Caenorhabditis elegans: one gene and its partner. The protein of the gene in region 2 purifies or fractionates together with the protein of the main gene of each other region. This does not show direct contact. Each region holds a gene or a part of one and is shown on either strand. Other genes may lie near its edges.

Region 1 (7,490 bases), on a different chromosome or scaffold from region 2:
CTGCAGCACATCAAATAGTTTTGAAACAAAACATCAAATATTTTTTATAAAATCAGTTTTAGAAGTTATTTATTTACCAAAAAGAAAAATGTGTAAACGATGCAATTTAATTATGTCAGCAAGATTGACAGAAAAAAACACAAATTTCCAAAAAATAGACATCTAACGAATAAATAAATTGGAAAAGTTAAATAAATTAAGAAAAGGAGAAACTCTGAATTCGAGTATATAAGGAACATGTTGGAAGAGTGAAAACAAAGAGAGATTAATATTTAAATCACCGCCTTGGCACTGACAATTGCTACTCATTTCTACACATTGCATTATAAAAAAATAAAATAAAAATATTTGATGCATGGATTTTCACAGCGACTAGATCCTATGTACATCGGGAAATTGAAACTTTGAACGAAAAAGGACAAGCAGGAAAAATAATATCTCTTTGAATTAAAAAAAAGTGAAAAATTTAGATTGAATAAGGCATTTAAATTTAAAAAAAATGATAAAGTCATACATTTATTTCTTATCATCTTTCTTATCACCTTCTTCTTCAACTGGTCCAAGTGTATGCCATTGAGCAATTGGACGACGTGGTGAAGCCAACATATCCATCCAATGCCTGGAAATAGTTGGAATACTTTTGTTTAGGTTGATAAAGGAATTTCGCAACATTGTTTATGGTCTCGGTATCACATTAGATTTATGAAAAATTGAAAAAAATAAACCAAACTTCTTAGAACTTCCAATTATCAAAATGTATATGTCACCAGTTAACACTTTTAAAAATAAACCCATATTTCTGTGGTCACTTGCAAGAATTTTTAGACTTTCATTTAAAAAATTATTAAAAAAAAAAAACAAAAGCAAACCTCAGCTCGGCACCGGTTCCATTACATCCCAATAGACACCTTCCAATAGCGTCATTGGATCCAAGTTTATCATAATCCATCACAGTGATCATAAGGGAAACTTTCTGCAAATATTAAAAAAAAATAAATATTCAAAAATCGTCTCGAAGTTGAATGAAAAAGTTAGAAAGACATGTTAGAAAAAGCCACCTGAATTTGTTCGAAAGGCACTTCAAAGCTGAACGATTCGTTATAATATGGGTTAAGTGTACACTTTTTGATTGATGTCTTCTTCTTTTTCAGTCGTTTTCCACCTTGCATCAACACAATCTTCACATAAGGATCTGAAAATTACCCCAGAAAATGAAATGTTAGATTTAGTTAGAAAGGTTAAAGCCAGCAATATTTGGGGATATAGAATAGTTTAGTTTCAGCGCAAATTTATGAATTCCCAGATCACCTTCATTTTATGCAATGGCAATTTGTCAAATACAAAACTCTCATTAAAATATGGATTCAAAGTTTTCCGTTTGATATTCGTTTTCTTCTTTTTCAATCGTTTTCTATCTTCTCCGAACATTTCCAATTTCACATATGGATCTTATAATTTTAAAGTTTAGATTTTTGTTAGAATTAGGATCAATAATTTTTTTAATTAAAAAAAAGTTACCTGATAAACCACCGACGTCCATTTTCTTAAGATTTTTTGCTTCCAGAATGACCACTGTCAATTTACCAGCAGTTGGGACGTACCGAAGTGAGAAGCAAATGTCACCAAGACTCTTCTCCTGAATTTTTAGAATTTGTTTTTGGTTTTTGGGTTGTCAAAAAAATGATTAAAGTATTTCGAATTCGCTATTAAAGAATGTGAGGTCAGAAAGAATCGCATTGTAAATTTTTTTACGTCTGGAAGGATAATAGGTGTTATAGCTCTCAAATTTATATTGTTGTATTTATAAATATTTGAAATAGTGTACTTTGGAAGTAGATTTTCAACTGAACTGATTCGTTTCTACATAGACGGTGCTTCTATTTCTCAATTACTTTTTGATAATTCAATTAACATTTAAAAAAAACAAAACTTACAGCTTCTTTGTCATCTGGTGGTGGTGCAATATCCTTCCATTCTTCGATAACAGCTCCCAAATCAATTTTTCCAAGCGGAATGAGAACTTGTCCGATTTGATCGTGCTTACTGAACCGATCGAAATCATAAATTGCAAAGACAAGAGTTTTTGCCGTAATTTCGTTGAAAGCGACTTTAAAAATGAATGTCTCATTGAATACTGGATTAAGAGTTTTTCGATGTACTTTCGTCTCAACCTTCTTCTTTTTCTCCGGTAACAAATACAATTTTACATATGGATCTGATGTTCCTGACATGTCCATTCCTGGTAAATCTTCTGCTTGAATTACAGTTACAGTTAGTTGACCTTGTTGGAAATCATAATCAAGTTTATATTGTATCCTTCCAAGTTTCACTTCTTCTTTTTCTTCAGCTTGTTCTTTTTCATTTTGTTCCATCGCATCACCAAGTTCTTCCAAGTCTTGAGCCATCTGAAATTAATTATACAATTATCAAAATCAAACTAGACAACACTGATGTTTAATCTATTTTGATGAAAATTCTGTCGTCATCGTTTGGAAATTCTATTACTGATTCTGACATATTCCCCAAGAGATTCTGATCGCTATTTTAAAAATATGCATGCTCTCAAAAACAATTATTAGAACAATAATTTGTTTCATTGAACTCCAGTTAGAACGACAGTTAGTAATTTATTTGTATTCCAATCTTAAGAGAAATCAAAACTTTGTACTACTTATTTCAAAAACCGAGACAATCGTTATTTATGTTTTCAACTTTTACAATTAGTTACCTCGAGGGGCTATAAAATTAGGAAGAGTTCAGCAAGGTTGGCTAAAAAAATGTTTTAGCAATAAACGAGATTCAAAAATTCGTAGGTTCAAAATCCCGATAAAAAGTTTTTCAAAAAAATCCAAGTAAAATGTTTTAGGTTTAACTCTAGGAAATGAGTTAGATCAAGGATTTTTGTTTTCAAAAAAGTCGGGAATTTTTTTTTGTAAAATTCTTGATAAAATTTTCCTAAGAATCAAAAACTAAAAATTAGAACAATACCAAGAAATCCAAGGAAGAAATCCAGAAATAAGACATTTGCATGCCTGGAGTCACTTGCAAAAAATTGCCTGCCTACCTACGTGCCTATTATACTCTTGCACCTCCATGCATACATGGGAGCTCTAGATTATCATAACCAAGTTTACATGTTTGGTTTCGCAAAGTCGCTCGAATACGGTATTCCGTAACTTATTATATTTCCTTCCTTGTTTTTCATCATTATTTTTCATTTCAAAAACATACCCCTTGAATATTTTTTCCATCAACGACATCCTGTCCTTTACCAAAGAATCCTTTCAATCCACCCTTTTTGTTCTTCTCACCATGCCGCTTTTTTCCAAATAACTTCCGAATGAGACAGAATGCACACGCGAGAACCAGCAGAATAAATACGAATCCAAGAAATACGAACGCCCATTCAGGCACTGAAATTCTCGTAAAAAGGGATATGAAAAAGTTGAGAGAAAAATAGAAAATAAACCAACTTTACTTTAATATTAAATTCACTTTCAGCTGTTTTTTTTCTCTATACTTTTTTTTTGTTTTTGTTTACTATTTAATTGAAATCTATAAGTTATTAATAGATGTATGTATTTATTTATTTTTTGCATATCTCTATAATATTTATTCCCCAAAGAATATCTCTTTTCCCTATCCTAATTATTTTCGTCACCAGTATTTGTTGTCCATTGGAGCATTGGAGCCGCCAACTCATAAACGAACTACTTTTTTAGTGTCCAGTGATGAATGTGTTATTGTTCTTCATGCTTTTACTTCTCTATCTCTCTTTTTCTACTAATTTTTCGTCTCTCCCTAGGGACATCTACCACTTTTTTGGCACATGCTCTTCTTTTCTGGGGCCATCTTTCTATACACGTCAATTCTGGTTACTACTTTCTCTTCTTTTCAATACTCGAAAAGTAAAAAATCTAAAATATTCAGCGCATGGGGAGGAATAGAAGGAAAAAGAGAGAAAGGCTGTCGTGGTAGCCAAATATCAAATTACAATCGACACAGCCTGAAGCTGTGAAACGGATGGAGCATCCAGTTTTTTTGGAAGAAAAAAAAACGATTTTAGATCCCCGAAAGACAATGAGAAAATTTGAGAAAGAGTATACATGAACACTTTGTATGAAAATTTCCAGGAATTTTAATGAAAACGGTACTATTATATTAGACCAATGACGTCAGCTTGAAAAATGACACCGGTTGTTATAAATTCTATATTTCTGTCTACAAGAATTCAAAGTTTCTGGTAAAAAATATATAAAAGATCATCGAAAAAAGCTTAATCACAATCATAGTAATATAGCAATGTTGTGGTTTTCTGTTTCAATGAAATTTTGTTGAGATTCAAGAGTTTGGGAATATTCAAAATATTTCGAAAATTCAAAACGAAATTGAGAACCAAAAATCAATTACAGTTGTATTGATTATTCAGTAAATAAAAAGATTAAGGGGTTTTGGTAACTTCAGGTTTATTTCTTTCAATTTTTCTCCAACCAATAATTAATGACTCACTCCCAGTTTGTTGCATAACCTTTTCTTTCACAACGTCTTTCACATCAATCACTTTATTTACAACCACATCTTTCAGCGTCTCCTTTGTCGTTGTTGCTCTGAAATTATTTTATTTTTGTTTAAAAATTCACAGAATGCAATAAATCAATCGAAAATGAACAACATTTGTTCCTTCATGAATCGATCATGACATCACATCGCATGTTTATGAGCGCCCACAGATTTCATATTTTATATGATTTTTCTCGTTTCTTTTATGGTTTGTCGTTTTTTCTTTTCTTCTGTTTTCTTCCCCTTAGCAGATTAAAATAATCGTTTAAAATTTATATGAAGATAAATAATGTCGCAGTGAAGCCAAAAAATATTTGAATCATCATAAAATTTGAACGATCAACATAAAAAATATAACCAGTTGGTAATTCCTGAGAATGATTTGCCGAAACATTGCTAAAAGGTGTACCGAAATTGGGCAATGCTTAGAACGGCCTCAGCAAAGATTTGACAATTAATTTAAAATCAAGCTTATTTTTTTTATAAGTTGAGCTTGAAGGGACACCGGGTGCCGAACAATTTTTCCAGTAAATTTCAAAACTTTAAGTTAGAGGCGAATTTAGATTAGTCGATTCTACTGGCTGTACCTCTCTTATTAGTGCTGCCCCTTTTTACTCGATTTTTAGTTTGTTTCAAAAAATATAGAATTCAGGTTTTCTGATATTAATATTTTTTAATATTTAATTAATTAATATTTTTGGGGTTTCAAATTTTTGGCATTTTCCATAATATTTGTCGCAGGTTTTGTTAGTTCTTTGAACTGGAAACTCAAAAGTTTTCATTTTCTGAGTGTGTCTAGGAAAGAAAGATACAATCTCTAAAAGATTATGGCTCTTTTCTTTTTCTACTTACATTTGCTTTACTGCTTCCGATGTTGTTTCTTCCATTGGTGCTTCATCCCTTACAAACTCTTTTGTCAAGTCTTCGTCGTTCTCTTCGTCTTGCGACGAAAAGTCTAATTTCACCATGGTGACTGAAAGTTTGATTGATAAATGAAATCAGAGGTAAATCAAGATGCAAAGCGTCGAAGAAAAGGGTTCCGTGAGAGAATGAAGAGGCGGAGTCGGGGGTCGAATGGGAAAATAGGCAAACCCCGGATGAAAATGTGTTTACAGAAGCGAAATAATTAGAATTTTTCAGAAAGAGGCGAGAGATGTAGGAGTCTGTTTACTTTTCCAGAAGAAGAATACATTCTGATACGAGAAACACGGATGTAAAAATGAAATCCTTGTATGGGAAAAAATATGGGAGACGAAGAGGAGATTATTATGACATTAGATTAATCATATTATCCTATTATTCAAGGGCAAGAATGACGACTAGTTAAGGGGTTTTTTGAACAGATGAAAACAAAAAAAAAAACGTCATTTAGAGAAGAGCAGGATTACTTTTTGAAAACTTTGAGGATCCCAAGGGTCAAAAATCTTAGTAGATCTTGAAAAAGTTATAGAAAGGGAAATGTGCAGTATTCTCCTCAACTTTTTGTTCTTGGCTCATTCCTTTGGAGACCTTTGAGAATCTATAATTATGGAAAATAGTAGGTTTTAGTAGGTTTGAATTTGAATTGAAAATTCGAATTCCAATTGAAGATAGATATTTTTTATTGGCTTCGTATTTTTTTGTTTTTGCATATTTGCTTTCTTTTTTGTCTGTTTTTCGTTGCGATAAACACGCTATATGCAATTCAAAAGCGACGAAAAATAAGAAGTGAAAAAGCATCGAATGATAATACGAATGGGTCGACTACACGAAAGGACCGCTTGGAAAAACGAAAAAAAATTGATTTTTTGTTAGATGTCGTCGTCAGAGCAAAAAAAAGAAGAGAAGAGGTGCTCTTTCGGAGGGCAGGTGAAAAAGAAGTGTTGTAGAGGATGCAAATTTTGGGGAAAGCTCACATCGAGCATTTGCGGTGGTGGTTGCATTCTTGATTTTCCCATGGCTTTGAATAATGATTCTAATTCAGGAGTTTTGCAAGATAGGCTTGGGAAAAATATTTAAAACTTGTCACTAACATATTTCAAGAACTGAGAGAATGGATAAGTTACTTAAAGATTTAAAAAAGTTTTCGGAAAAACTTTAAAAATTGTAGTGTTTCTCAGAACTTGGCAGCCAACAATGTTTCTAGTAACTATATGTTAGGTTGCTGGAGATAAAATTTCTTAGTAACATTTTTTCAAGCTTGTATAAAATATTTGTATGATGTTCTGGGGTGAAAAGTTTCGGAGACCTTGGAACATGTCTAAATTCGAACTTCGCGGGAAATTGAGAAATACGATGATAAATCAGAGATGAGCGAAGGGCATCAACAGTTTTGATTTGTCGGCTTCTAAATTATTTGAAGACATTAAAAATCAATTCCTTTGTCGACAATGTTGGAGACTTTTCAGAAATAAAAATTCATGACAGTTTTTTTTGTTGAAAAGATTGTGTAAGTTATTTTGGGTCTTTCAAATATTTCAAAAATCTTAAGCTTAATGTTTAGATGAGCCCACCTCTTCAAAATATCTCCAATGAAATTTCAAGAATTATGGAGAAAGAAATACCCACGCACTTTTTTCTTTTTACTGACCTGTGTCATCTTCACAAGCTCATGTAATTTTCATTTGGGTGAAAGGTCAGTTTTCTGTTTCAAAAGAAGATGCACCCCAAGTGCCATTAGTTAAATTTGAATTCGTTCCTATTTCGAAGCATAATTGAGAAGAGTCAAAAGTGTGATGAGACCAAAATACCATTGTTCGAAAAACAGATTTTTCATTTTTATTTGTATTTTTGGCTTTTAACGGAAAATAGGAATAGGCATGGAACGGGGCTACAAATAATGTTTGTAAAGTTTCAATATTTATTTTTTGGGCAAAATGCGTTTTGAACAATATCCAACAAAACCAAACTGATTTTGAAAAAACTCGATATGAAAATATCATTTTTCAAAA
Region 2 (6,317 bases):
TGTCTTATTAAGCTTCAGCTTATAGAGAATAGTCGTTTTTCCGGCTCCATCTCAACCGAGCATCAATGTACGACATTCGATATTTGGAAACATGAAGGAAGAAATTTTAGAGAAGAATAAGCCCATTTTGAACGAAAAATACTTTTTGAAAATGCAGAATACGATATTCTTGAAGCTATGTCGACAATCAGAGTTATTTTATCATGGAGTTATCATGGGGCTCCACGTTCCAGCTAGTGAGTTGGCCGTTTTTTGCGTGTTTTAATTTCTGTTGGAAGAAAGTTATTACGAAATATTTGTTCACTTAGTCAGACCCGCCCTTTTCTGGTTTCGCAACAGGTGTTTGATAAGGAAACGTAACTTTCCCTGGCAAGAATAACTATAATATTAATAATTAAGACACGAATTTCCCGAGAATTTATTAGAGATCAATAAACTTGATGCTTAAATAAATAAATAAACGAAACAGGTAGAGTGAAAATACAGGAACACAGCAGTTTAGAAAAATAGGTAAAATCTTTACAAGCAAATGCAGTAAAGATTTGGAGGAATTTTTTGGGAGACTATCGAGTTCGAAAGATGTTATGCAATTACGATTGTTTTTTTGCAGAGAAAACATGTAGATCACTACTTTCCTTGGTTGGCGATGATGTTATCCAACTCTTTGCGGAAATCGACGAGTGCGGACATTGGAACGGTGATTGCGTTACGATAGCCGCTGTTGAGTTTGATCTGAATATAAAATTAGAATAAACTTCTATTTGACACAAAATTATTTCCTCCGAGATGCGAACAAACTCTCCACGATCGTTCTTTCCGGAATGGAAAAGGAACGTTCTGTTTTCAGCAGTGATTTTTGGAGTGTTGGTGTTCTCCTGTTCGTGTCCCTCTCCGAACTTGGCCAAATATTCGGTTAGCACCTTATGAATTTCGGCGATTCCATCGGATGGAATGGCGATTTGTTGGCGAGTTTGACGTGGGTTCATCGGAGCAATGCGCAAAAAGCGACCACGATCATTTTCCTTCAGATCGACGTAGAATTTTCTCTGATTTGATGAGAGAGCTTTCCTTTGGCTGAAATTTAATATTGCATTAAAAATGTGAATTTATTTTCGGCAATCAAAACTTAAGTGTCACGTGGCAACAGACCATAAGCTTACCTGCAATACGGGCTTCTGGACTCCCCTTGCGGCTTTCGCGCTCCATTGATAATCGCTTGCCGTACACCGCGTGGAAAAGCGCGTGTACTCCACATGGGTAAATATTTTCATTTTATTTACAATAAACTTGTTTAAAAGCTGCAGATTTTGCTCGAAATTTTACGCGACTTCAAATTGGGTAATTGAACCAACGATATACTCGGATCAACAGACATATTTTTTTTTTTTGGGAAAGTTTTTTTTTGAGTAGAATGGACTGCAAAAAGGGTGCATTTAAGTTCAAATTACTTAGTTTTTAATTTACCGTGATTTTATTTCATAAAACAAAGTTAGATTTTCCAAACATGTTCGCTTTCAAAAATTAGTTTTTTTTAAAATTCATGTTCACATTTTAATTTAGGTCATCAGTATTTTTGACTTTTGTCAAAAATAAAAACAGTCGGTACTCTGATTACAACCCTTGATGGAATGTTTTCTAGAAAAAAATGTATCGGATTTTTGCAAAACAAGCACGAAAACAAATAACAAAGTACTCGAAACTTTGGTCAAAACACTTTTTTTTCCTAGATGTGTCCAAATTTTCAACAGTTCAGCAGCAAACACAGCTTGGTAATTTTTGAAGTTTTTCATACATAGACTTTTTCTTAATAAACGATTTCTGTTTTTTTTTCCTTATGAAAGCAACCGAAAAATCGATATAAACCACCTCACACCTCTCAGGCCCATCCGTCCTTCCCCCTTCTTTTGTTTACGTGCTGACGTCACAATGCAATTGCGCTCTATTGAACGTCTATCGTCTCACGAGACCATTCTCATTTTGCAGTGCCAAACCTTCATTTCCTGTCGTTCCAATGGCGGAAATCGAGGAAAACACAGTTTTCGAGATAAATGACTTCACAATTGTCACCGATATGGAGCACTTCGGTGCAGCATTTGAAGGAATTCTTCAGAAATACGAGTTTTCCAGTCGCCGACCGTGTTTATCGGTGAGTTTTTTGAGTTTTTGTTTTTTTCAAACATTAATCAGTAAAAATTTATGTTCAGAATGATGTGAAGTACCGGTTGATTGTGACGGACACAAATATGATTTCGATTGGAGAGAACAAGCTAAGAATCGAGTTATTGCAGCCAGTTGTGAGTTTTTTGCAAAATGAACAAGAAACTATATAAACTAAATATAAAAATTATAAAATGCAAAAAAGTTTTTCAGCCAGCTTCATCGAATCCTTCAAATGACGTGGAGTTTGTGGAAGCTCCAAAAGATGAGATTGAAGAAGACGCCCACGTTATTCCATTCACTGTTGCCGAGGAAGTTGCCAACCTCAAGCATGGATTCGAAGTCACCGATAGCTTTTTGCTAAAGGTTAGTGTTTTGAAAATCGAAATGAACAATTAAACTTTAAAATTTCAGTTTGGCATTCGCGAATGCATTATCATCTCTCCAAATGACAGCTCTGGTACATTCACCGACGAGAATCAAGTGAACACCGTTATGGGAAATATCAAAACAATATTGCACTCAAGTAGATGGTATGTGAAACTGTGATTTGTTATTAATTTGGTTTTTAAATTCCAGTGAGGTCCCAGTGTTCTGCTACATCAAGGACCAAAGCTTGGACATGATTTCTGGGTACGCGTCGGATGGAAATTCTACGTATAACTTTTCGGTGAGTTTTTATTTATGAATATAGCTTTTTTTATTTAAAAATGCCTATCACAACAAAATATTTGCAGTCCGTTGTTCTCCGAAACATTAACCGAAGACACTGCAGTATGACCGATCTGCTTTACTTGTTCAAAGAGCATCTTGGAGCTAGCATCTCGGCGTTTCATGAGGAAGTTCGCATGAGCTCTAGATTCACACATGTTGTTCCGGTAGGAAGCGTTGGCTCATTTTCTTAAAATTGTAATGTATAATTTTCAGTTGAAACAAAGTAAGTATTTCCGGAATCATACTGTCGAAACTTTTGGTCTTCTCGCGACTGGACCAACATCAAGTTTGCCGTTGTAAGAACTCGAACTCAAACTTTCAAACTGAAAAAAAAAACAATTAAAATTTCAGCGATATACTTGAAATTGCTGCCACGTGGCGTTTCTTCCGTGAAAACTCATTGACTGAGAACCATAGTCATTCAGATTTTGATATCAACTATTCTTCGTATTGGAATATCAAAATGAAGTCGACTAAAAGTTCATTGCTGGGAGTACTTGGTGAGCTACACTTATCTGATTAATTGTGAACTAACAATATTTTTTAGATGAAATTCTTGGCGTCTACCGAGAAGACACCAGAAAAGCAATCCGTAGCGACCTTAATTGTGCACTGATTCTTGGGAAACACTACACACAAAAAGAGCTTCCAAATGCATTCCAAAAGCTCACTATCAACTCAGCGTCTGAGGTGAAAATTGGGAAGCATGCAGAGACGGAGGATAGTGGAACCAATGGACCAATGCCGCCGGTTAGTTAAACGACAAAATTTTCTAGTGGTAAACGTAATTATCCTATTCATTTTCAGGCTCTGATGAAATCTTGGGTCAACTTCATCTTCAACGAAGCGGAGTCCGACAACGAGTCCTTGGCTCACGAGCTCAATATGTTGAATGCTGCTAGTATGTCGGAGAACCAATTGTCAGATGACGAGCTGGTGAACAACGTCAAGTTGGATACTCTTTTCAATTATAAGAATCCCAAATCAGCGAACACCTTCCTTGCTCCGTACAAGTGTGCAAAGAAGTCAACTGTTACATGGAGATTGGCAATTGCCTTGGCAAATGCGAGAGTTTTTATGAGTGATCAACCACGTGCCGAGCCGCAGTTATGGGTTGAGTTTCTGCTGAAACTTCGCGAGAAGTACGAGAAAATGGAAACTGTCGAGTAAGCAAGGTTCAGTTGTAAAAATGGTAATTAGCAATGTTTTTCAGAAAAGTCTACAACGGAATTGATCACTTGCAATGCTCATTTTCACAGAAAATGCAAATGCTCCAGTTATGCATTGATGCTCGCCAGAAGCGCCACAGAATGCTTGACTCTGCTCATAGTGCCAATAATTCTGGTAAGTTTCAGACACCACTAGTGCAAAAGTTAGAAATCTAGTTTCAGATGAATTCTTTGACGCGAATGAAAGTTTCAATGCTGAAACAATTCTTGAACCGAACAACGAAGGACGCCTCAAACTATTTGGACTGAACCTTGTCGAGATTCCAGACGTGCCCATGTATATTCCAGTCACACAAGATGCTTGCCCACTCACTGATGAGATGATAGATGCTCGAAATGAGCACCTGTTCAGTCTTGACGAGGAAGATCGCGTGCACCTGCAAATGGAACTTGTGAAAAGTGATATGCAAAGCTTCAAGGCTGCAAATGCTGGAGCTGTTTTTGCTGACTTTCTGAGATGGCATTCGCCAAAAGATTATGATGAGAAAACAAATACAATCTCAGAGAGAATGTTGATTTCTAATAATGTGTGGGTGAGAAGCTGGGAAGCTGCACTACCGATTCCGGTGGCCAATCAAGCAAGGATTTTCAATGACACAAAAATTGCAGAAGAGGTTTGTGTAAAACTTTGGAATTCTTGAGAACTGAACTTGAAATTTAAGTTTTTGTCTGACGCATTTTTTTGCAATCGTTCGTTTATACGGTGTAGGTGTCTATTTTACAGTACTTATGCGGCCGGAAGGTATATTTCTTATCAGAGTAAATATTTTGTCTTCTACCTTCGGGTAGATAATTTCGGTTCAATGGACATCGTTTATTTTTTCAGATACTCGAAATATTCAACAACGCAACTCTCGATCAAGTTCGCGAATGGATGAAGCCAACCGTGTTTGCAGCCACGTTAGAACGCCTCACAGAAATCGAGAGCAGCTATGGCGTGTCTGAGGAGAAACAAAAGCAGCGGACCAAGACAGCCAAAATTCTAGCAAACGCGACGCTCAACAACACTCCAATGGATTACAATGAAATTTCCAAGTACTGTAGCCAGATCGAAATGATTCATAACATGAAGGTCCACTTGATGCAACTTTTCGAAAATGCTGTGAGTTTGGAATTTTTTGGGTTTTCATTTGATTTCTTTTATAAGTTAAATCTTCAGAGAGAAAAAATGCACCCGCCATATCCATCGGAAACTGATGTTCAAAGCGCAATCAAACAATTGGTGAACATTGCTGTACATAACCTTTGGGATAATTCTACTGATGAGGAGCCGACGTTTGTCATCAAGCCACAGGATCCGATTGGAAGAGCTATAGCTGTAATTGGAAAACTTGATGAGCTCACGGAGCAGCAACTGATTAATGGGCACAGGTAATGAGCACTATAATCCTTGATCCTGAATCATAGATAATTCGCTGCTTTTTTCCAGAAAAGAGTACATCTTCAACTGGAAGCACAGCTGCCCGTCAACCACAACAATCCCCATGACACACCGAATGTATGCTGACTTGCGATCCGACAAGCACAGCCTATACTTTTCCATGGCCAACGACTGCAATTTCTCCAACTCGTCATATTTGTAAATTGAATTTAAAGCATCTACTGGTCTCTGACATTCTCACACTTTGATTCTTCAGCCCCCGAGCTAAACAATTTTGATATTCCCGTTGAATTATAGGGGAAATGTACATGTTTTGTAAATAAAGTGAATGTAATAATGGCATGGATTTTATTCGTAATTTACAAATTGAAAATACATCAAAAGAAAATACCCGTTTCAAAGTGAGAATTATTTTGTGATACTATACACAATCAAAGAAGAGGGTGTTCTGAGGCTGATGTAACCTAAAAAAATAATATATGTTTTAGATAGTTTGCATTGTAAAATTTCGTAAACTTACACTCAGCTGAAAATTCTCGTAAGTTGTTGCATCCGCAGATGATGACTGAGTGAGCATCGACTGTCCCGATACGGACTGCTGCATTTTTGCATTTTTCTTGATGCGAGAAAAATATGCGACTTTTTGATGAATACATGTGTCACAACAGAATACGACAACGATGATCAGTATTATTCTGAAAATTGTGATGTGAAAAGTGCTTCACTCTCGTAAGTCTCGTAAGAAAAACTCACATCAAGGCGATTGCCAATTTTGCATTCAAACTCTGCATGACAGTTTTGAAGGGCTTCGTTTTTTGACTGATGCAGGAGCTATA

What was found. Proteins that work in one complex are often made in the same cells at the same time.
Region 1: the proteins of rbg-1 (region 2) and snt-1 purify together in Caenorhabditis elegans (affinity purification with western blotting, with the first as the bait; one study listed by BioGRID). This does not show direct contact.

What each region holds. Positions count from the first base shown.
Region 1 is NC_003280.10:6,809,006-6,816,495, reverse strand, and holds snt-1 (C2 domain-containing protein), read right to left. Parts: upstream 5,529-7,490; coding exon 5,413-5,528; intron 4,608-5,412; coding exon 4,510-4,607; intron 3,414-4,509; coding exon 3,232-3,413; intron 2,406-3,231; coding exon 1,935-2,405; intron 1,637-1,934; coding exon 1,519-1,636; intron 1,449-1,518; coding exon 1,309-1,448; intron 1,193-1,308; coding exon of another isoform or gene 1,059-1,192; intron 974-1,058; coding exon 870-973; intron 620-869; coding exon 517-619; downstream 1-516. UniProt on the Caenorhabditis elegans protein: May have a regulatory role in the membrane interactions during trafficking of synaptic vesicles at the active zone of the synapse. It binds acidic phospholipids with a specificity that requires the presence of both an acidic head group and a diacyl backbone.
Region 2 is NC_003284.9:14,981,550-14,987,866, forward strand, and holds rbg-1 (Rab3 GTPase-activating protein catalytic subunit), read left to right. Parts: upstream 1-1,983; 5' UTR 1,984-2,011; coding exon 2,012-2,146; intron 2,147-2,204; coding exon 2,205-2,294; intron 2,295-2,370; coding exon 2,371-2,523; intron 2,524-2,571; coding exon 2,572-2,690; intron 2,691-2,736; coding exon 2,737-2,827; intron 2,828-2,894; coding exon 2,895-3,035; intron 3,036-3,084; coding exon 3,085-3,167; intron 3,168-3,222; coding exon 3,223-3,371; intron 3,372-3,418; coding exon 3,419-3,621; intron 3,622-3,678; coding exon 3,679-4,037; intron 4,038-4,084; coding exon 4,085-4,215; intron 4,216-4,262; coding exon 4,263-4,714; intron 4,715-4,926; coding exon 4,927-5,202; intron 5,203-5,259; coding exon 5,260-5,471; intron 5,472-5,529; coding exon 5,530-5,683; 3' UTR 5,684-5,816; downstream 5,817-6,317. Other genes in the region: plp-2 (DUF3467 domain-containing protein), read right to left, coding at 591-1,074, 1,161-1,255; iglr-1 (Ig-like domain-containing protein), read right to left, coding at 5,913-5,945, 6,002-6,176, 6,235-6,317. UniProt on the Caenorhabditis elegans protein: Probable catalytic subunit of a GTPase activating protein that has specificity for Rab3 subfamily. Rab3 proteins are involved in regulated exocytosis of neurotransmitters and hormones. Specifically converts active Rab3-GTP to the inactive form Rab3-GDP.